4 linked regions of the Arabidopsis thaliana genome follow. The protein of the gene in region 1 interacts with the protein of each later gene in a pairwise test. Each region holds a gene or a part of one and is shown on either strand. Other genes may lie near its edges.

The links.
Region 2: the proteins of SNF4 (region 1) and AT2G29670 interact in a two-hybrid assay, tested with the Arabidopsis thaliana proteins (one large-scale study listed by BioGRID).
Region 3: the proteins of SNF4 (region 1) and AT4G25670 interact in a two-hybrid assay, tested with the Arabidopsis thaliana proteins (one large-scale study listed by BioGRID).
Region 4: the proteins of SNF4 (region 1) and ABC4 interact in a two-hybrid assay, tested with the Arabidopsis thaliana proteins (one large-scale study listed by BioGRID).

Annotation. Positions count from the first base shown.
Region 1 is NC_003070.9:2,899,275-2,906,428, reverse strand, and holds SNF4 (sucrose nonfermenting-like protein), read left to right. Parts: upstream 1-1,566; 5' UTR 1,567-2,216; coding exon 2,217-2,341; intron 2,342-2,488; coding exon 2,489-2,576; intron 2,577-3,009; coding exon 3,010-3,186; intron 3,187-3,467; coding exon 3,468-3,590; intron 3,591-3,717; coding exon 3,718-3,777; intron 3,778-3,987; coding exon 3,988-4,077; intron 4,078-4,257; coding exon 4,258-4,392; intron 4,393-4,556; coding exon 4,557-4,701; intron 4,702-4,989; coding exon 4,990-5,163; intron 5,164-5,550; coding exon 5,551-5,614; intron 5,615-5,701; coding exon 5,702-5,771; intron 5,772-5,963; coding exon 5,964-6,081; intron 6,082-6,185; coding exon 6,186-6,280; 3' UTR 6,281-6,653; downstream 6,654-7,154. Other genes in the region: AT1G09010 (glycoside hydrolase family 2 protein), read left to right, coding at 7,142-7,154.
Region 2 is NC_003071.7:12,681,313-12,686,925, reverse strand, and holds AT2G29670 (Tetratricopeptide repeat (TPR)-like superfamily protein), read left to right. Parts: upstream 1-1,774; 5' UTR 1,775-1,933; exon of another isoform or gene 1,934-2,088; 5' UTR 2,089-2,180; coding exon 2,181-3,541; intron 3,542-4,367; coding exon 4,368-4,617; 3' UTR 4,618-5,095; downstream 5,096-5,613.
Region 3 is NC_003075.7:13,084,673-13,088,797, reverse strand, and holds AT4G25670 (stress response NST1-like protein), read left to right. Parts: upstream 1-1,707; 5' UTR 1,708-1,907; intron 1,908-2,411; exon of another isoform or gene 2,412-2,432; intron 2,433-2,567; 5' UTR 2,568-2,800; coding exon 2,801-3,367; 3' UTR 3,368-3,580; downstream 3,581-4,125. Other genes in the region: AT4G25680 (PPPDE putative thiol peptidase family protein), read right to left, coding at 239-373; AT4G25660 (PPPDE putative thiol peptidase family protein), read right to left, coding at 3,809-4,111.
Region 4 is NC_003070.9:22,323,922-22,329,356, reverse strand, and holds ABC4 (UbiA prenyltransferase family protein), read left to right. Parts: upstream 1-1,997; 5' UTR 1,998-2,418; intron 2,419-2,587; 5' UTR 2,588-2,597; coding exon 2,598-2,687; intron 2,688-2,766; coding exon 2,767-2,991; intron 2,992-3,072; coding exon 3,073-3,176; intron 3,177-3,269; coding exon 3,270-3,341; intron 3,342-3,429; coding exon 3,430-3,568; intron 3,569-3,644; coding exon 3,645-3,751; intron 3,752-3,837; coding exon 3,838-3,937; intron 3,938-4,011; coding exon 4,012-4,050; intron 4,051-4,135; coding exon 4,136-4,246; intron 4,247-4,324; coding exon 4,325-4,390; intron 4,391-4,454; coding exon 4,455-4,550; 3' UTR 4,551-4,920; downstream 4,921-5,435. Other genes in the region: AT1G60610 (SBP (S-ribonuclease binding protein) family protein), read left to right, coding at 171-279, 369-736, 813-1,358. UniProt on the Arabidopsis thaliana protein: Involved in the synthesis of phylloquinone (vitamin K1). Catalyzes the transfer of a prenyl chain to 2-carboxy-1,4-naphthoquinone.

The sequences.
Region 1 (7,154 bases):
ACTAGGCTATGCTATATTGTATAATCTAAGCTTTTCACTTTGATTGATTTCATATCAAAAAAAAAAAGAAAGAAAGAAGGAGCATATGTGATGTAATTGGAGAGTTGTTTAGACTAAGAGAAAAATGTATTCAGTGGAGGCTAAAGAAATTCTTCTCGAAATCTGATGCAAAACCCATAACTGAAAGAAAAGAAGAAGAAAGAACTCTTTGAATTAGTTCCCGAGCCAAAGATCATATACATAACCAGAATTACGACGAAGGAGTTACGGATGTTTAGGACGAGAGCCAAAGATGTTCTAACAATATGTAACCAAATGAAGACTTTCCAAATATTAAAAAGAGCCCTTATGAGATAAAAAAAAAAAACTTTGTTGGCCTGTTTTTCAATGCCCAAATATAGCGATCAAGATTTTGAGATGAAAGTTATGACCATTAAAGGAGTATATATATCCAATTGTCCATACTAGCCAGCGACCGTGAATGCTGCCCAATAACCAACAAGCCAAAATGACCATTGTTTACAAATGTCTTTCTCATTTGCTGTTTTCCGACAGATAGAGTAAGTGTATATATAGAATAGTACTGAAAGAGAGGGCCGGGGGACTTATATACGTTTTGAGGAAAAAGATAAACAACATTAGAGTAAGAGCGAGATATATACACTTATATAAAGTCATGTCTATAAGAAAGTTCAAATCCAACTTAAAAATATATACTCACAACAAATAAAAGTTACATCACTTCGATTATTTAGAGTTTATAAAACTAATTAGAAACCGAACTCTTTTTTTCTTCAAGGTCGTGTTTTGGTTTTAGGCTTTTAGCCCTAATTTACAGGTCTTTCTAAGGCTAAATCTACTATAAAATGTAATTGCATGCCTAGGGTTCAAACATGAAGTCTCCTCTCCCTCAAATAATGTCAACTTGGAAGACAACACGATTGTCTCCCTGTATTACATGTCTACCGAGAATAGATGTACAATGTAATTTCATGGATTATGTTTAACCCGATAATAAATTGGTGTGGGATGTAATGATTTATTTTCTTTAATTTAAGAAATTATAAGAGTTGACACAATAAAAATTAGAGAAAAAAAAAACATGGCTTTTCTTTTTACTTTATTTATTTACCCTGCTTCAAAACACAAGAGAATAAGAGAAAAGTGTATTTTGAAACGTTTTTGAATGTTAGTTTGGTTTTGTTTGATTTATAGTACTGTTTAACATCAGAAAAGACAAATGAGTTTAAAAAAATAATACCAAAAAAAGAATTTACTAGATACAATTTTAAAGTGGAAATATTTTTAATAACTTGGATCCTCGTCTAATTTATTCATAACATTTATGTGATATATTATATATATAGGAAATGATTTATTAGATAGTTGACTAAAACTATATATTAGATGCTATTATTTGCATAATTCATATAGTTATTTATTATGAAAAAAGAGAAGAATAATCAGTTATGTAAAAGTAGAATTTTTTTTTTTTTTTTAAATGTTATCGGAAAAACTGTATACAGTAATAAAAAAGAGAAAAAAAAAAAAAACCATATCTTTGTCGATGGATTAAAAACAACATTTTCATTACGCAGCGCTTCTTCGCCCTCAGATTCTTCTTCACCTTGAAAGACCATTAACATCATTCCTTGCCCAGATCCAAACAATGCCATCTCCACTCTCTCTATTTAGGGTTCTCTCCAACTTTTCAAATCCCTAATTCTTGCTCCCTCCCTTCAATCAATTCCGATCATCATCGAGGTCTCTCTACTCCCCGAATTTAAAGATCAGAGCCGCGACTTCCTCTGCCTTCTTTTCCTCGGAATTTTTCAGCTACGTTTTCCAGGTGGTGTGTATTGTCAATCAGTTGACCTTTGCTTTTGTAGCCAGATCGTTCGTGCTTTGAGTTTAGGGCTCTTTTACAAGGTTTCGTGTTGGTGGAATTTCTCTACCTAGGTTTGGGGGAAGAGTTCAGTAATTTCGTTGTAGATCGTGATTTGGGCTTTTAGGGTTTCGGTTTACTGGTTGCTGGAATTTATGGTAGCGTTATTGAATTCGGACTCTCTGCATGTGTAAGCGTTGAAGTTTGAAGTTTCACCGGGTTTTGTTTCTTCTGCTGAAGAGTCGAGATTATTTTACGCATTAAGAATCGATTCAGAAGGTTTTTAGGAATTAGTTTCTGTGGATTGTAACTATATAACTACTGGGAGGGGATGTTTGGTTCTACATTGGATAGCAGCCGTGGAAACAGCGCTGCCTCAGGGCAGCTTCTTACTCCGACACGCTTCGTGTGGCCTTATGGAGGTAGAAGAGTCTTCCTAAGCGGATCTTTCACCAGGTGAGATGACTGAGCTTGAACTAGGATAGTTTACTTTATATTTCAGTTAAGCTATTTATCGGGGTTTGTGTAGAGTATGTGCTCTGTATAGTATCTATCGGGGTTTTGCAGTCCATGGACTGATTTCTGAAATGGGCATTTGAACAGGTGGACAGAGCATGTGCCAATGTCACCGCTCGAGGGCTGCCCTACTGTTTTTCAAGTCATTTGCAACTTGACGCCAGGATATCATCAGGTTAATAATCTTGTACTCGACCTGTATCATGGCAAATTCTTTGTTAATTAATCCCTGCAGAAGCATTTATGTCCTTGTAGTGATTTAGCGATGTCCATAATTGTGCTTCATTTAGTCTCTGGATACTTAACCTATGCAATGAGAATCTTATATACCTCTGTCATATTTGTATGACTGTGGCTGAAAATTGCAAATTTCCTTGCTAATTGATCAAAATTTGACTTTATACATCACCATCCACATAACAAAAGTTGGGGTCTTCATGCTGTGTGATACCTAAATCACTTCTTTTAATAAAGGCTACAGTGTGTGTATAGAGATTCATATATTTTGGCAGTTGGATGTACTATATATAACAAGATTTTAATTATTACAATGTGAGATGCTTAAGAAGCCACTAATGTTACATTTATGTTATTTCATTCTCATGCAGTATAAGTTTTTTGTTGATGGGGAATGGCGGCACGATGAGCACCAACCATTTGTAAGCGGAAATGGTGGAGTAGTGAATACAATATTTATAACTGGGCCAGATATGGTTCCTGCTGGTTTTAGCCCAGAGACACTGGGCCGGTCGAATATGGATGTGGATGATGTCTTCCTGCGAACGGTAAGGAATCTGACCTTTCCTTTTCCAAAATGCAGTGTTTATTCTCGCTGCTTGATGGTTCAGGTTTCCCGAGTTGCTTCCAGTTTGGTTTCTTTAATTTTGATCCGTGGTTGGTATCCTTCAGATTATTTTTAACTGTTTGTCATTAGTTCAAGTATAATTGATTTTAGACCATTTTATCTTAATGTATAAAGCAGGATTCCTTAAGTTCCATTAAATTGTCTCTGAGACTACATTCAAATTGAGTTTCTGACTGCTTTCACATGGTGATTATATTGTAGGCTGACCCGTCCCAGGAAGCTGTTCCTAGGATGTCGGGGGTTGATTTGGAGCTTTCTCGTCACCGCATATCGGTTTTATTGTCAACCCGCACTGCATATGAGCTGCTCCCAGAATCGGGCAAGGTTTGGTTTCTTTTTCTTTTTGCTTGATCATTGATAATTTCTGTCTTCATGTCCTATAGATTATCAGTTAAGAATAACCTTTGGCTTCTTACTCGGAAATTGTCTAAGGTGATTGGAAATTTTACAGGTTATTGCATTGGATGTTAATTTGCCAGTGAAGCAAGCATTCCATATACTCTATGAGCAGGTTTACTTTATTTGCCAATTACCCTTGTGTCAGCTTCTGTTCTTGTTAGGATGTTCATCTCTCTGTCTCTCACCGTCATATAAACATTCTAATATTGTTGCATCCAGACCCGGAAAGGGAAGGAAGTGAAACTTAAGTGAACAACATTCGTCTAATTATACTTCGAGATTGTTTGGCTTTCTGGTTTTTGCTAATTCCAGATGCTTTCAGGGAATCCCTTTGGCTCCTCTTTGGGACTTTGGAAAAGGCCAATTTGTTGGAGTTCTTGGTCCACTAGACTTCATTCTAATACTGAGAGAGGTTGGCTTCTATTAAAACTGTTCTTTGCTAGAGCATTCCATCGAGTTACTATTGTATATTCTTAGAATTTCCAAGACGGAAGTCTGGATATCTCATAAATCACATAGTTTTAAATGTTTTACTAGCTTCTCAGTATGAAATTTCACTCTTGAGTATAATAGCAAATTTGTAAAATTGCAGCTTGGAACTCATGGATCAAACTTGACAGAGGAAGAGCTTGAGACGCACACAATAGCAGCCTGGAAAGAGGGGAAGGCTCATATTAGCCGGCAATATGATGGAAGTGGGAGACCATATCCTAGGCCACTTGTTCAGGTGAGATTTTCACAGTTGATTTGTATCGCTGTTACTACTAACTTTCTTCTGTTTGCGTAATCTCTGAACATAGCCTTATCCTAGAACTTTCTATTGCATGTTATATTGAAAAGAGCTAGTAGTATTTCTCTCTTGCTATTAATGGTTTTATATATGGCTATCAGGTTGGACCCTATGATAATCTGAAAGACGTTGCCCTGAAAATTTTGCAAAACAAGGTGGCAGCTGTTCCGGTTATATATTCTTCTTTGCAGGATGGTTCATATCCGCAGTTACTGCATCTTGCTTCGCTATCAGGCATATTAAAATGTAAGGTCCCTTCATTTGTGAATAAGACACTGATAAGCGCGCCAATTTGGCATTTCTCACTTTTTAATTCATGACGTGCATATGATTCTGCTATTTCCAAAATTTTCCCACTTCTTCATTTCTCCAAATTCTGTGAAGGGATGGGATCTTTAGGAGGGAGGGAAATTAGAAACTAAAGTTGCAATTGACTTTACCAAACTTTTTACACAGTTTTCCCTGTTAATAATTCCTTTCGAAATTTATGCCTTTATCAGACACTTAAGCTCTAAATTAAGCATAATCTTCCAGGTATATGCAGATACTTTAGACATTCGTCTAGCTCTTTACCTATCCTTCAGCAACCCATTTGTTCAATTCCCCTGGGTACGTGGGTCCCTAGAATCGGAGAATCAAGTAGCAAACCTCTCGCTACATTGAGACCTCACGCCTCTTTGGGTTCTGCGCTCGCATTATTAGTTCAAGGTAATCCTTTTTCTTATCTTGTTGCAGCAACATCTTATTCAAAGCTCATCTGCAACTCAGACTATCAACCTCTACATTACAATCAGATTTTCAGTTTTAAATATTTTGTCTAGATGGTAATATAATCAAGTAGCTGAACACATGGGTATACTCAAGTCAATGCAGACCAACAAACCAACTTTAGATGTTACGACCACTTTTATTATTTTTATACAGATGTAATTGCTGCAACATGAGTAAACTAACGAGGTTTAAAAACATAGAAACATTTTTGTCAATCTTAAAGCAGATATATTTATAGAATTTCTCGTGATCTTTTCCCTGGTTCCTCATAGATGGAAATGAATGAATGAGTCATGCTTAATTTATGTTTCCTGGTTATTACAGCTGAAGTCAGTTCAATTCCCGTAGTGGATGACAACGACTCGCTTATTGACATATACTCTCGAAGGTAAACCTCTATCCATCAATCGACATGATGTCTTATGCATTCCATCTTTGACGTCCTTGTGTTCTGATGATATTTGTAATTGGCCAGTGATATAACTGCTCTGGCTAAAGACAAGGCATACGCACAGATTCATCTTGATGACATGACAGTTCACCAGGTAAACCTCTCATCAGAAACCAAGATCCATCACATGTCTCATCAAATTACGAGTTTTACTTAAATGTAACCTGCCTATCTATCATGGAAATTGCCTCGTTTCTGATTTATTTGAACATACATCTTTACAAGAATGAAAGAAGAGATGAAACGTTATAATAAAGTGGAGGATAATGTGTTTGTGGGTTTTCAGGCGCTACAGTTGGGGCAAGATGCGAGCCCGCCTTATGGAATCTTCAACGGGCAGAGATGTCACATGTGCTTGCGCTCAGACTCTCTTGTGAAAGTGATGGAGCGGTTGGCGAATCCAGGTACACACTATCTCCTATATACAATCTTCAGCTTTGTTGCTTGACACAGGAACATCAGATGAGATGTAACTGGGGTTTGGGTTTGTGTATATAAAACACAACAGGTGTAAGGAGGCTGGTGATAGTGGAAGCAGGGAGCAAACGTGTTGAAGGTATCATTTCACTGAGCGATGTTTTCCAATTCCTGCTCGGTCTTTGACTCCCACAGCAAAACAACCTCCCCAACCTCTTTTTCTCATTTCCCCTCAATCAAAACTACCCAACAATTTGCTTCTTTTTTTTTTTTTTTTTTTTTCTTCTTGCAAGGAATTTGTAAATTTGCTACGAACCTCTTTCATCATTGTTTTCTTATTATTTTTGTTGTTTTAGTTGAACGGGTTTCCATTCTTGTGAAGATATTGGCTACCGGAATCTTTTACTAGTAGCTTCCCTCAGCTTTTTCTTCCCTCTTTTTTTTTCCATTTTTTTTTGGTTTTGAGTTTTTCACTTCATCGACTCGAAAAGCAACACAGCATGAGAAGGCCGTAGAAGTGTAGGACAATGCACTGGTTGACAAAGATGAATTGTCACCAGCGAGAATAAGCCTTATGGTTGAAGTTTGCAAGTAATGATTAATACAATTACAATCATAACGAATCATAACCTTAAGTACAATAACAAGTAAAAAAGTACAATGACAAGTAATATTCAGTAATGGTTAATCGAGTGATTTGATCATAGCATTATCGATTTCTTTCGGATTTTTCAATAGCTCTTAAAATATATCAATAAAAGTAATACAAAATTCAATCAAATCTAGTGACACTAAAAAAAAATAAAAAAATCTAATGTCATTTAAAAAATATTTGAGCAAAAAAAATAAAATCTAATGTCATTAAAAATAAGTGTTAAATAATTGATGACATAATAAGTGATAGAGAAAAATGTATTTACTCTATTTACTTATTTAGGCTTATCCAGACAATAAACGTTTTCGTTTTTCCAGTCCAACAAGTTTCTTCATCAACTCTCTCAACTGTTTTCGACATAAACATTCCAGAAGCTGAGATCAGATACTAAAATGGCGGAGATCG
Region 2 (5,613 bases), on another chromosome or scaffold:
GCTTAGTTTCTATGAGGGACTGGTTATAATCAGTATATGTTCCTCTAGAACTTTCTTTCAAAACACATTTCACATCCTATATTCATAAAACTCGTAACGAGACGAGCTAATTCGTTTTAAATCCATGTGTACCCTAAAGTTTTTAATTACGAAATATTCTCGATGGTCCAAATATAGACGATAATAAAAAGGAAAAAAAAAACTGAAATTAGGACAAGGTCAGATTCCACCGTACGTTTTGTAAAATGGAATTGAATAAACTAAGGGAATAAATAAATATCAATGAAAGGTGAGAAGAGTCCAATATTGTTGAAAGAACAATAAATATCAACCGTTAAGAAGGACATAAGCCGAATACCAACGAGAGCCGTCAATTCTTCACCTTCTTCTAACGTCAATGTCTCAACGACGTCAAATTACGGCAAGTTGGTGCATACCTTTCTCTCCTTCTCCACCGTCGGTTTTTTTACCCCCTCCATTTGGCACGTTTCAACAAGATATAACCACCCTATAAACAAAACAAGATATAAACCACTTGTGTTATTCTTCTTAACTTTCGATTTTTCGGTTAGGTTTGGTTACAGTTTTTTCGGCTGATTTTTCCCGAACTAGAACTTATAAGCTCGTCCATTATGGTCTACATTGTTTAACTCACGTTTATACATATTTATCAAATTGAGACCGAAATTGTAAATTGGTTCATTTTTTGTTGTTGTAAATTTCAATTGCAGTTAATTTGGTTTTCTTTGTTTTGTTTCAGTTTAGTTCGGTTTTGGTGTTTTGAATTGTGTGTTGGTTATGAAATTATTAAATACGTTTTGATATTTGTTCAATTTAAAATATAAGTTGTTAAATGGGGCAGCTCCAAATCTTACGAAACTAGATATATATCTCAAAAATACATGCATGCGATAATTTACGAAGTCGTAGTTATTTGTTACAATCATCATTGCACATGCACAGAAAAAGGTATCTTATAAATTACTCAAATCAAGTAAAAAATAGTAGGATCCACTATATAGTCACCCCAACTATATAACCATATAGAGAAACAGTGTAATCAAAATCTCCCTAGAACGGAGATTATTTTCTATCACTACTTTGGTAAAACTAAAACATAATTTTCTATAAGCAATTATTTCCTTCATTGCATCATTACAAAACTTGATCTCACATTTCATGAACGATTTACGATTTTTCGAATCCGTCGATTTTGGATCAGACGTATTTACGTTTTCTATACAAACAAAATTTAAAAGAAAAAGATGTAAAAATTTTGATACCAAAGAGGGCAAAATGAACATAGACGCAAATCGCAACACTTACCACACATCAAAGTTAACGCCAGATTACATGGACACTACGGGACCCACTCTTTTAGCATACCTTCTTGCAAAACTGTTACTATTTTCACACTCCTAATTAAACCATTTTAAAATAAATTATTATCTTACAGCAAGTAAAATATCTACATGGCTTTTCCAAGACCGTTGATTGGTTTAAATTTTAAATTGGCAAAATACAGTACGCAATACACTAGTACTAGTTGTCAGAAAATGACAAAAGAAAACCCAATAGTCTGGGAGACACTTGGTCTATCTTAAACCGTCAGATGTAAAAATAATAAATCCTAATGACATCTCCGGTTAATCATGTGAGTCGGTTCTTGTCACCGGCTTACTTGTTTGTCAGATTCTTTACGTCGCTGTATAACCGGCTTTAACCCGGTCATATATTTAATTTAATTAATTTCGATATTTTCGATCATAAACTCGTGCGCAACAAACCCTTCCTTGACATCTGTATATAAAAGCTCATCTCCTCACTCTCTCTCTCTCCGCGTTCTACTAAAATAAAAGTGAAGCGCCTTCCTCAGGATTTTCCCGAGTGAGTTTCGCTTTCCTCCGAGAAAATTTCAGACTTAAATTTTCCGGTGAGTTTTTCTTCCTCTCTTTACCTATTTTTTTTCTTACTAATTCGTTGAACCCATCGATTCTCGTGACATTACCTTTCCACTATCCGATTTGCCATCTTCAATGATTCAATCTCAAGATAATTAGTGGATTCAATTTCTCTTATGATTTACAGGAATCTAATAAGGAGAAGCCATTGTTGAAGAAACTAGTCTCTCTGTTTCGAATCTTCAAATTCAGATTCAATATCTATCAGGAAAATTTCGCATGGGGGTGAAAGTAGCTTCTTCGTCTACTTTCCTTCAATGGACTACTCAGCCTATTATTCATCAGTCTTCTTCACCATCTCAAACCCTAGCTTCGGGAACCATAACATCTCCTTCAAAACGACGTAGCACAGTACACGACGGCCGGTTTCTATCATGTCGTTTCGTGACACAGAGACTAAACCGTTCGGCTCTTTTCGGAACTCCGTCGACGAAGCTTCATCGACCCAAGTCATGTGAGCTATGGAAATCATCATCATCATCATCTAGACCGATCAAAACTCAGTCGTTTCGAAGAGTTTATAGCGCAAACTTAGATCCATTCTCCGACGAAGAGTTCTCGAAAAAAATCCAAGAGCTAACTCTCAGATTCAATATCCCACACCATGACGACGACGAGAATTCAATCGAGCCGCCATGGAACGAGATGGTTCATTTGTCGAGTATTGAAATGAAAGCAAACAGTGTTGATCTTCCTCTTTCACTTCGTATTATAAAGAAGAAACGTCAATGGGAAGAAGGAGTTAAACAAGCTGGTGAATCTGCGTGTTGCTCGATGAATAAAGCTTTTTCTTCAATGGTGTTTATGATACGGGAGCTTCAGAGCTTTACTTTACATATGAGAGAGATTCTGTTCTACGAAGACTTGCAAGAGATTTTGCTAAGAGTTAGAGAAGAGATGCAACAATCTTTCGTTTGGTTGTTTCAACAAGTTTTCTCTGCTACTCCTACGTTGATGGTTTATGTTATGATTCTCTTAGCCAATTTCACTGTTTATTCTATCGGTAACAACAGCTCCGCTTTAGCCGCTGTTGCTCCTCTTCCTCCGACGATTACGGAGTTAACAACTGTTAGTGAAACAGAGGAAACAAACGTGAAGTTTGATTCCTCGGTGGTGAAAACGTTCTTTGTATCATCTCCTAGTGGGAGTATAGCTTCAGTTGGTGGTAACAACAATGGCGGCGGTGGAAACGTCAAGCCGGTGTTAAGCGGAACTGACGGTGATGGATCCGATGGATCAGAACAGTTCAGAACAATCATACCCGAAGGAGTTTCTCAATTGTCATCATCGAATTTCGGGTCAGAGCCGTCAGTATCGGGACAAGATGAACATAGATTGTGGAATTCGATGGTGGAGGAAGCAGAACGAATGCAGTATTCAAATATTGACGATTCGTTGGATCAGGAGACGAGGAAGCGGTTCGTGTCTCATGTAGAGGCTCGAGTAGAAGCAGAGGAAGACACTGGTTACTTCAAAACAGAGCTAATGTATCAAACAGAACTGTCTCAAGAGCCTAATAATCCTCTACTACTCGCTAACTATGCTCAGTTCCTTTACCTCGTCTCTAATGACCATGACAGGTAACACTTTAATCATGTGTTTTCTAATTAAATTATGTTAATCTTAGTTTAGCTTAAGTAGATTTGGTTATTGAGTTAGGGTCGAATCTTCCTTTTAGATTCTTTTGGGTTGTGAATTTCTGAGGCTACAAGTTGATGCATAGAGTCAAAAATAGGCGCAGACTTCGATGATTTTTTAATTCACTAGTGGGGCAGATTGTGGAAATTCATAATTGTCATAATAATCGCATCAGCAGAATATACACCAACCAATTTCTTTTCCTCTTTGAGGAAAAACGACATTACACAAATATCTAACAGAGAATAAATAAAGAAAATTATAATGTAACTCTCAGTCAGTGTTAGGGATAAGTTCTAGCCAATGAGCTTTGAGTCTTTGAGGGTTTTAGTGATAGTGGAGTTTACGGTTGTGTTTTAAAGACTCCCCACCATAACCCAACAACAAAAGTCGTTACATCACAATTTGTCTTCTAGATTTTATCTCCCACCCAAATTAATTAACCCATGTTTTTGTCATTAGCTTTATACAGTTAGTTTTTTGTTCTAGATTGTAGCATTCTTTAGAAAATTGGGCTTAACAAGCATTATAGATTTTAGTGACACGATGAATGGTTTGATATTATTCCTAACCGATCCTTATTTGTTAGTATGATGGCTAAATTGATAATTCTTTCACATTTTTGTAACCGGTACCTAATTCATATTATATGGAAATTTAATTTTCACACGTAACACTTTTGGCGTTATTCATTTCATCATTAATACGTTCCACATGTCTTTACTTATCTCTATTGAATAAGTTCTCACGTGATTTCATGTGTAACAGAGCGGAAGAGTATTTCAAGAGAGCGGTAGGAGTGGAACCGAAAGATGCAGAGGCGTTTAGCAAATATGCGACGTTCTTATGGAGAGCACGGGACGATCTTTGGGCGGCTGAGGAGACTTTCTTAGAAGCAATTGATGCCGATCCGACCAACTCTTACTACGCCGCTAATTACGCCAATTTCTTGTGGAATACCGGCGGTGATGACACGTGTTTCCCTCTTGATGACGAGTCTCATGAAGACACCATTTAGATAAGAATGTGCACCATCAAAGTCTCTCTATATAAAATATTGTATACAATAAGTACAACTAATGAATATACACATATGTGCATACCATTAATGTATTATGTATATGCATGTTTGTCACCAAGGCTCGGTGGGTAAAAGAGTTATATAATACTTATGGTTGCGATCAGTCTAGAGAAAAGGAAGAAAATATCTTGGTTTGGTGGTAGTTGAGGCACGTGATTATAGCGCATGAGATCGAACCTGATCTCACCGCCTTCATGAGTTATGACTCATAACTTATGAATCTTCGGTTGGGCCTATGTCGTGGAACCAAGTGTGTTTACTGTACACTTTTCTTTTTTATTGGTTTGCACATAGAGTACTACGTACAAAACTAGTCAAAACACTAAAATCGTAATGCAATTTCGGCATGTTTTTGTTTTACTTTATTTATGTGCCGTATAACTAAATTGACTAACTTGCAATTTTGACTCTTTGAGATTCTAATCAAGGTACAACGATACTCAAATCTTTCACTCAATACCGTTTAAGGCTTTTTAGTTATTTCCTCTCGTTAAGTTGGTGGAGCAGTTGTTTGATTCATTGGTTTGTCAATCACGTTCTTAGACTTGGAAAGAAATTTCTTATTACATATTGACATTGTATATGAGAGACCTAGAAGTGTTCATATGGAATGACATGTGTTGGTGGCTTTGGCATGTTCCTTTTCAATCTATAGATTGAGTCATAGAGGTCTCCAATGGAATGAGGTTGTACTGCACTATTACGAGGATTTATATCTTGCTCACGAGCCATGCAATGTCCTTTTGTTTGCTTACTCAACAAACCAAATTGTCACCGTTTTGTGTCATGCCACTAAGGGTGAAGATTTACGAAATGGCAATGCAATAAGCCAATTAATTAGAAACGACATAATCATCGTTATGATTTTAATGTACACGATGGAGTTATGTTCAATGCAGTTTGGACCTATGTAAATGCATGCATGACACGAGT
Region 3 (4,125 bases), on another chromosome or scaffold:
GGAAACACAAGATCCTGAGCAAAAGAGAGACTTCAGCTCCAGACCTTTAGGACCATAAACCATTAAACTAAAGCCTCACATATCAAAAGAAAAGTATCATGCCGTCAACTTCTTAATTTCCACATACATACACAGAAACAAAAACCAAATCTACATAAAGTAGACCAAAACCAAGCTTAGACATCATCGATAATTGTACATAAATGTAGATTCATAGAATATAGACGAAGAGTAGTACCTGAATAGCGCTGTGGAATATACCGCCAAGACCGATCCCGTCTTTGAAGAACCTATTGATCTGAACAATGGTGTTGTTAGTCTTCTCCGATCCACTGTTCGTCACATCGTATATATGCAGAACAACCTCCGTCATTGATTCTATATTTACCAAGCAACACGAACCCTAATTTCCTACCAAAAAGAGCTCGCAGATTCTCTCTATATAGAGCTTTTGGTGAAGAAGGAAACCTAAAGACTCGTACCAAATCCACTTCTCCGTTTAACGAATCCAACAACTACTAGATCTCCCCGAAAAGAAATCTAAAGGCACAAGATTAGACTTATCTTTCTTCTTCCGATTTCTCAATTTCAGACGTAGGAGATGAAGAAGAAACTGGTGCGGCGGTGGTGGTGGTGGTGGGGATCCACTGAAATGACAATTTTACCCTCGCTTTTCCTGCGGAATTGCTACTTTACGTGTCCCTTGTTAATTCCTTTTGTTTACAACTTAAGCACGCGTTTAGATTATGAATTTATGGTAACAAATTATATTAGTATGAACGTTGTTCGCAGTTGATTAAACGGGTCAACTACTGAACCTTTTTTCTTTCATTTAACTAACATTTCTTTAGCTAGACAAGTGTCCTTACCAAAACAAATCAAAAATACTAGTAAAGCATCTCTATAACAAAATAATGACTTAAGTAATCTGACACAACCAAGGAAGATGATTCATGACTATTAAAAAATGGGGTAAACAAAAAAAAAAGAGGGTAATCAATTGACCGATTCTTCCGATAATTTTCGAAAATGCAAAACGGACACAAGTCTGGTTTTCGTTAGCCATCTGATTCGTCTCGAATTAGTCCATCCATTCATACACCAAATTTATAATTTTGCTTCTATGTAAAAAAGTCAATCATAAAAACTTAATGACTTCTTTTTTATGGTACATACATATTGGGCCAATTGGGCCTAGGCCCAGTACAACAGATGGGATTCAGGAAATAAATTAGGACCAAAGAAATTCGACCAAGTTTTTTGTTATATCAAAAGTGTATTCAAAGTCTCATTTTGGTGGATGAATCTTGAATGGGATGCTCAAAGCACAAACAAAGCTTAGTCAAGTTGATAAACTTTGAATGCAAATTAAGCTCTTATATTTTATTGTAATGTAAGGTAACATGACACTTGTACATATTCGTGAAAGGCTCAAATTTTCTTTCTTACATGATAAATATTGCAAAGTTGGAACCGGAAGTCGACAAAAAAAAAAGTTGGAACCGGAAACATCTCAAAACAGTTATCGGGGGATCTAACGGCTGCTAATAGCCCTCATTAGGACCCACAAAATACTGGGAGTAGACGAAGTCGCACCGGCCAAGTCTCCAAAGTCCCAATTGAAAACTTACACTTGAAAAAAAAGTCAGACATCATTCGACACGTGTCCCCATTTCATTAGAAGTCGCGCTGCGTTTCTTTCTCTGTACTAGTTATAATTCCTTCTATTATCCTCTCTCTCTCGTCTTCTTCGTCTGCTCTTCTTTTTTATCTCTCGAAATTCCTCTCTCTTTCTCTCTGCATCAAAACAGCAACTTTACTTCTGCGTTTTTGTTTATCTCTCTGTATTATCCGATTAATTTAAAGGAGTTCTTTGAAGGCAGCTGCTTCTATGCCATATTGCCGAGGTTTGGATCTAAATTTCATCATCATCTTTGTTTCTCCGTTTATCTTCAATTTCCCTTTATCTTTTCAATATAATTGACTTATTTCGTTAAAAGTCTTTTTGATTAGCTTCCTCGGATCTTATGCTTATTCATGGATCTTAGACCTACATAATGGATTAAATCCGATTGTTTCTCTTATTGTTCTTGTTGAATTGAGGTTAATTTTGATCTGAAAATTAGTTTCTGCGGCAGATCTGGTGTCTGTATTTGTGTAATTTGTATCCATTAGTCTTAATTGAGTTATTAGCTGAGGATTAAGAGAGATCCTGAAATTTGCCGTGGAATTAACTCTTTCTGTGGATGGATGGATACCCTTTGTATTCTTCAACTTTGCTCCTACTCTGGGAAATTAGGGTTTGAGTAATCATTAGGTTTTACTCTTTGGCTGTTGTTGACTATCTTCAATCTAATTGGTGGCTGATTTTGTTTGACTTCTTTAGGACTTTTGGTGTCTTTCGAGGTCATTAGAACAATTGTGTCTGCTTGGTTGGTGGTCTATCTACAACTGTTAGCTTTTACAAGTTTGAATGCTATTGTTTTGGCTTTCAGATTTTGATGTTATGGATTTCTGTGTTACTACTCCTCTGCAACTTGAAACTAATCAAGTAATTGTCAATGCAGAAAATGGGCGAGTCTAAGGGGTGCGGGAATGTTGGACGAATGATTTCGAAGAATAAGTCTGCGAATTCTTATAACCTCTCTCTTCAGTTGTCTCCTGTTGTTTCTTTCTGGGATTGTATTGTCCGCACCATGAGGTATTCCTATATACCAGAGTGGGTGTAGTTCTTGAGTTCCTCTACAACATCATCGAGTTTAGTGCAGTTTTTTAGTTAGAAATTTATAGTCAAGCAATAATGGATCACACGGTGTGCAAGCAAGTTCAGCCAGTCGTTAGGAAAGCGAAGAAGAAGCATGGTAAAGATGAATTTGATCGTATCAAACAAGCTGAGAAGAAAAAGAGACGTTTGGAGAAAGCTCTTGCTACTTCTGCAGCCATCCGGGCTGAGCTTGAAAAGAAGAAGCAGAAGAGATTGGAAGAACAACAAAGGTTAGATGAAGAAGGAGCTGCAATTGCAGAAGCTGTTGCTCTGCACGTCCTACTGGGCGAAGATTCTGATGATTCATCTCGAGTCAAGTTTGGTGAAGAAAAGGGTTTCACAATGGATCTGTTTAGAGATGAAAGAACTAACTACGTTCCTCGCCAAAGCTGTGCTAGCTATGCGGTTCAAGGGATTGGGTTTGTGTCAAATGGCTATGGACTAGGAGATAGTAACTGGTCGCCATTCACGAGGAGGGGTGCTTGGGATAACAACATGGGAATATCAGCTGATTTGATTGCTGCTCAGGCTGTCTCGGCGCTACAGATATCTGAAAATGCTGATGGGAACGCCTTTGTGTTCAATGGGATGTTCCGGGGATGACAGATGCCACGACTCGTCCTCATTCGGTTTTTAAAATAAACATTTGCCTTCTGCTTGCTTTGGTGTCAATGCTCTGTTTTTTTCTCTTGACGTTAGACCTTATACTCTGTTTTCGTTCGCTGTAATATTAAAGACGCATTTTGAGTTGTATCTATTATACATGTTGAAGTCTCTTCATACTGCATTGTTGCTTATCTTATATCACATTCTTTTAACAAACCCTCTAATAGGTGTGCAATGCATATGCTAAGACTTGCTTGGTCTTTGCCAGTAACGTGTTGAAAATATCTTCTTAACAAAATCACACGTTCTGCTGTGAAAAGGGGAAAAAAAAAGAGAGGTGTGTTCGAATCGTGATACAAAGTAATGGATACAAACGAATAAATTTTGGATAGGTGGATATACAGTAAGTGAATACATTGGGGTGGATCAGTACAGTTGCTACTGAAATAGTAGAACATCAGAGTCACGGTTCTGCTTTTTCTGATTGGTGATTGTATGATTTGTATCTTCCTCTTTGTTCCCTATCTCTGTACTTGTGGAGGGTTTGGCAGTGTTAAGTATACCTTTCAACCAACTACCTTGCAATCTAAAGCTCCCATTGTCTGAATTGTTGAGAGTTCCTGGCCGCTGTGGAGAGCCACTGGAGCCATTTGAACCATTGGTTATGTTTGAGGTAACATTCGAAAGGAAGCGATAAGCCACTTTACTGGCTGAAACAAGTTCAGTTTTGGCTTGCTTTACCTGCAAAAGTCACA
Region 4 (5,435 bases), about 19 Mb from region 1:
GTTAAATCTTATTACATCTTGGCTCGTCATGTCAAAAGCTGAAGATATTTGAGCTTTCATATCTTACAACTAATTAGTTTCGTATGTCTACAGGTTTCTTACTGTAATTTTTCTGTTTCAGTTCTTTACGGGTATATATATACACATAAAACGGTTAAGCTCTAGAGAAGATGTTGGGAGGCAACAATGATAACCCTGTGCCGCAGGTTCTAATGAACGACAGCCAGTTTCGGTATCAATCAAACACATCGTTGAATCAGCTTCACTTGCTTGGGACGAGTAAGTTTCTGAATTTTGTTATTCATTTGGTTTGAATGTTGTTAGAACTTTATAGAGCTAAAAGCTTGTTCCTTTGTATGTGGTTGCAGTGAGAGCTGGTTGTACTATTGATCCTGTAAACTACTTTGCTAATGATAACCTTGCTCCTATGATGCGGCTTAATAGCACACGCGGAAGGGAAACTGAAAACAACAATATTATGCAGAGACAGCAGAAGCTGCAGATCTCTTTGAATTATAACTACAACAACAATAATACTGTTGTTCAAGATGAAGTCCCAAAGCAGAACTTAGTGTCAACTGGTCTGAGACTATCTTATGATGATGATGAGCGCAACTCTTCTGTAACTTCAGCAAATGGAAGCATAACAACTCCAGTCTATCAGTCACTCGGTGACAATATCAGATTGGACCTCAATAGACAGAACGACGAGCTTGATCAGTTTATCAAATTCCGGGTATTAATTTTATCTACAAAGCGTATGTTTTTGCTTACATATCCCATGTCGTTGAAATTGTTCTCTCTTGGAACAGGCAGATCAAATGGCGAAAGGTGTGAGAGATATTAAACAGAGACATGTCACGTCCTTTGTCACGGCCTTAGAGAAGGATGTGAGTAAGAAGCTTCAAGAGAAAGACCATGAGATTGAAAGCATGAACAAGAAGAACCGGGAACTCGTGGATAAGATAAAACAAGTGGCAGTGGAAGCTCAGAACTGGCATTACAAAGCAAAATACAATGAATCTGTGGTTAATGCCTTAAAGGTAAATTTGCAACAAGTGATGTCACATGGAAACGACAACAATGCAGTAGGAGGAGGAGTTGCTGATCATCATCAAATGAAAGAAGGGTTTGGGGATAGTGAGATTGATGACGAAGCAGCTTCTTACAATTACTTGAACATCCCGGGGATGCCAAGTACTGGGATGAGATGTAAGTTGTGTAACGTAAAGAATGTTTCGGTCTTGCTCGTGCCATGTAGGCACTTGAGTTTGTGTAAAGATTGTGATGTGTTTACTGGTGTTTGTCCTGTTTGCCAGTCTTTGAAAACTTCTAGCGTTCAGGTCTTCTTCTTCTGAGTTGTCTTCATACTCTTGAAAAGTAAATGGTGGATGAACATATTTGTATGTGATGGTGGTGATGAATGAAAACTTGGTCGAGTCTTTCTTTGCTTTTGCCATTAAACCTATATAGCATGATTCTGCTATTTCGTAGTTATTAAGCAGCCGTTCTTTGAACACGAGATAATAATTGAGTTCCGTGTCGTGTGCGATATGTCAAGCTGTGGATTACATTGTTAGAAGAAATTATTAAACTTGTTTTGGCTGATTTTTTTCTTCTTAATATTTTTGCTGCAAAACTTGTTTCCCAAGTAAGGTTATTTATGTACTAAAACAATATTTTTTTAATGTAAAGGATTTTGATCAATATTTCCGTTAGAAAAATACTAATAAAGTTGATATTAATATACATCATATTACGTTTGCAAAAATAAAAAAGACGCAGTTAATTTCCCCATCTGAATATTAATTTTTGGCATTAATATTAATTTGGTTTAATTATAAATTATGTCAACATTGTTTAATTTGTAAATCATGCAAATCTAGTTTACTTGTAGTAGTTTGTACCAACCAAACCCTCAAAGGCTCGAAAGTAATGGGCCTTAAAGGCCCACCTTTCTACTTGTATTTAAAATTGGTCAAAGACACGTGAACCTCACGTGATTTTATCTTCCAACGAGGGAGCTTCTGTTATCCACTTCATCATTCACGTCTCTTCCGCAAAACCCAACATTCAAATTCTTGTCTGAATAACGAAATCCCAACATTTGCATTGCATAGATTCCTTCACAAATCCTCTGATTCTGATTCTGGTCACTCAATTTTGCCTGTTTATTGGCATAATTCGGGCACTTTTCTCTCAGTTTTTGTATAAGGTTCAATGAGTTTGTTCTGTACTTCTGTGTGCGTTATCTTCTCCAAATTAAGATTCCAGATTCGTGGGTTCATGAAAATCTCGTTGTAGACGAGCCAAGTTGAAATATTTTTCCTCAAGTGAATTTTGTTATGATCACGTCGTGGTTTTGATCTGACTCCACTTCCGTCGCTAACTCTCTTCGAAAGATTCGTGTTAAAAAAGGTAAAGTTCCAAACTTCATACTTTTTTTACTTCATCTTACTCATTTTCCATTGTCTCTGATTCATGCCAGAACAAAGATTTTAGTTATAGGGTTCCAGAATCTCGGACTTTAACTCGGAAGTAGTGTTCTTCCTCTGTTAACTGAAATTCTTTCTTTTGTTTTATGCAGAAACCTGAAAATGGTGAATTTTGTTTCTCTCTGTGACATAAAGTATGGGTTTGTGCCCAAAAATTCAACTGATTTGTTTGTGAAACGGAAAATTCACAAGGTAGGCTTAGCACTTCATCCAAAGCTTTGTTCTTTGACAATAATCTACTTTGTACTGTCACTAAAATTACTTAGCTTAGCTTCCCAGCAGAGGAGATGTAATCACTAGATTACCGGTGTTTGGTTCGAATGCACGAGAGAATCTGAATGCTAAACCAAGAAGAAACCTTAGAGTTAGGCCAATCTTTTGTAAGAGTTATGGAGATGCAGCAAAGGTTTACCAAGAAGAGGAGATTCCCAGAGCAAAATTGATATGGAGAGCAATCAAACTACCAATGTACTCTGTCGCTTTAGTTCCTCTTACCGTATGTTTCCTCAAGAAACCTTTCTATGTCCTCCATTGCCTTTATCTGCTAGGGAATATTCACTGTTCAAATGTCACACAGGTTGGCGCTTCAGCGGCCTATTTAGAGACGGGTTTGTTCTTAGCTAGACGTTATGTTACTCTATTGCTCTCATCAATTCTTATCATTACTTGGCTCAACCTAAGGTGATTAATTGATTGATTCCTTTTAACATTTTCGTTGACTGTATTTACTCTTTCATGTATTTACTCTTTCCAAACATGGTTTTATGTTTGCAGCAATGATGTTTATGATTTTGATACCGGAGCTGATAAGAACAAAATGGAATCAGTAGTAAATCTGGTTGGAAGGTAAAGTATTATCAAAGGATAGAGTTTGCAACTTTGAAGTTTATGTTTTTGAGTTCCATCCTAATAAACTGTGTTTTACTTGGAAAAGCCGGACAGGAACCTTAGCCGCTGCAATCACATCGCTAGCGCTTGGTGTTTCTGGTCTAGTTTGGACATCGTTAAATGCAAGTAATATCCGTGCAATACTATTGCTAGCCTCAGCAATACTCTGTGGCTACGTATACCAGGTGAACGTTACTTCCTAGATGACAATTTGATACTAATCTAGGAGATTTCTAACTTAGAGTAATACTTTGTGACTAGTGTCCGCCATTTCGGTTAAGTTACCAAGGATTAGGAGAGCCTCTATGCTTTGCAGCATTTGGTCCATTTGCTACTACTGCTTTTTATCTACTTCTTGGTAGCTCAAGGTAATATCAAAATTTTGTTTTAAGCCTAATCCATTCGTGTTTCCATGAGGTGTTAATAATGGAAGCTTGTTAATCGGTTTTGGCAGCGAGATGAGGCATCTTCCGCTAAGCGGTAGGGTCCTTTCATCATCTGTCCTTGTTGGTTTTACTACATCTCTTATCCTTTTCTGCAGCCACTTTCATCAGGTTGGTTAATGAAAAAGTGGTCTAATGAGTCCTGAAATGACAAACACAGTACTGACTACATTTACATTCTATAGGTGGATGGAGATTTAGCTGTGGGGAAATATTCACCTCTGGTACAAATGTGAAAAAAACTCAACAAGGTTTAATATGAATATGGTGATTGTGTTTATGATTAGAGTTTTTTTTTGGTTGACACAGGTTCGGTTAGGGACTGAAAAAGGAGCTTTTGTTGTGAGATGGACTATTCGTTTACTATATTCAATGCTTCTTGTTCTTGGTTTAACCAGGATTTTGCCACTACCTTGCACCGTAAGTTAACAGATTTGAGAACATGACTGAAATATAAGAACATATATTAAAACCTCCTTTTTGTTGTTGGTGTTTCAGTTGATGTGCTTCCTGACATTACCAGTTGGGAATTTGGTTTCAAGCTACGTTGAAAAGCACCACAAGGTAAGATATTTAGAATTGAAATTTGTAATACTCAAAGTTTTGCTAATCTATTCTTTTAATGCAGGATAATGGGAAGATATTCATGGCCAAGTATTACTGTGTGAGACTCCACGCCTTGCTTGGAGCCGCATTGTCGTTGGGGCTAGTTATCGCGCGCTAGAAATCAGTCACCAAACATTTGTTTCTCTCTTTAGCCTTCGTTGTATCTACCTAAACGTTTAGCCACTACAGTATGCTGTAGCTAAAAGGAAACATTCGAACTTACAACAGTTGTGAAAGGTCTCAAATTAATCACAAGCATGGTGAGCGATTGTATCCTCAATTGTTAAAGTGACGGGTGCCACCATGGATATGTTGAAACATGGGCCATGTCGGATTTAGTGCAAGCCCGTTGACGGCGTTTGTGTTAGGTAATTCAGATTTCCAACACACAAGATGGCCCAACAAAGAGGTTATGCTTGTGTTTGTAGGACATAATTGTTTCTCGATATGGACCTTTCTCCAATTCTTGAATCCATCCCAAACCACTGAAGTTGGATCCCATGTGCATTTAAGAAAATCATTAGAAGGTGAGATCCAGATTTATATTAGAGAACACATAAAACCCCAAAATATTATCATTTGAGAAGCCTATTCAGCCTATGTTATTAGGTTTTATAGCAAAATCATTAGCGGGTTTAGATGGGCTGCTCAAATGATAATATATTAGGCTTTATGTGTGCTCTAATAACTTTGATGGTAATGAGTTGACGGTATTGACCAAGTTGAAGATTGTGGACATTGTTGATTGCAATTTGATTCCTCGTGATCTGTTGTTGCTTTATGAATTACCTTCATGGCCGAGAAGCCTAGTTCATTCTAATCTTTTCACATCCTCTAAAGAATCCACAAGCTAGTAATTTTTCTTAAGCTTTTTACATTTTATTAATTTTCTCAACAAATTATTATATATTACTTGGATCTCAATATTACTTATATAGTACTAATATAAAACATTAAAAATCTTAACGAAATGTATATATTGTTGTTTTATATATATATATAT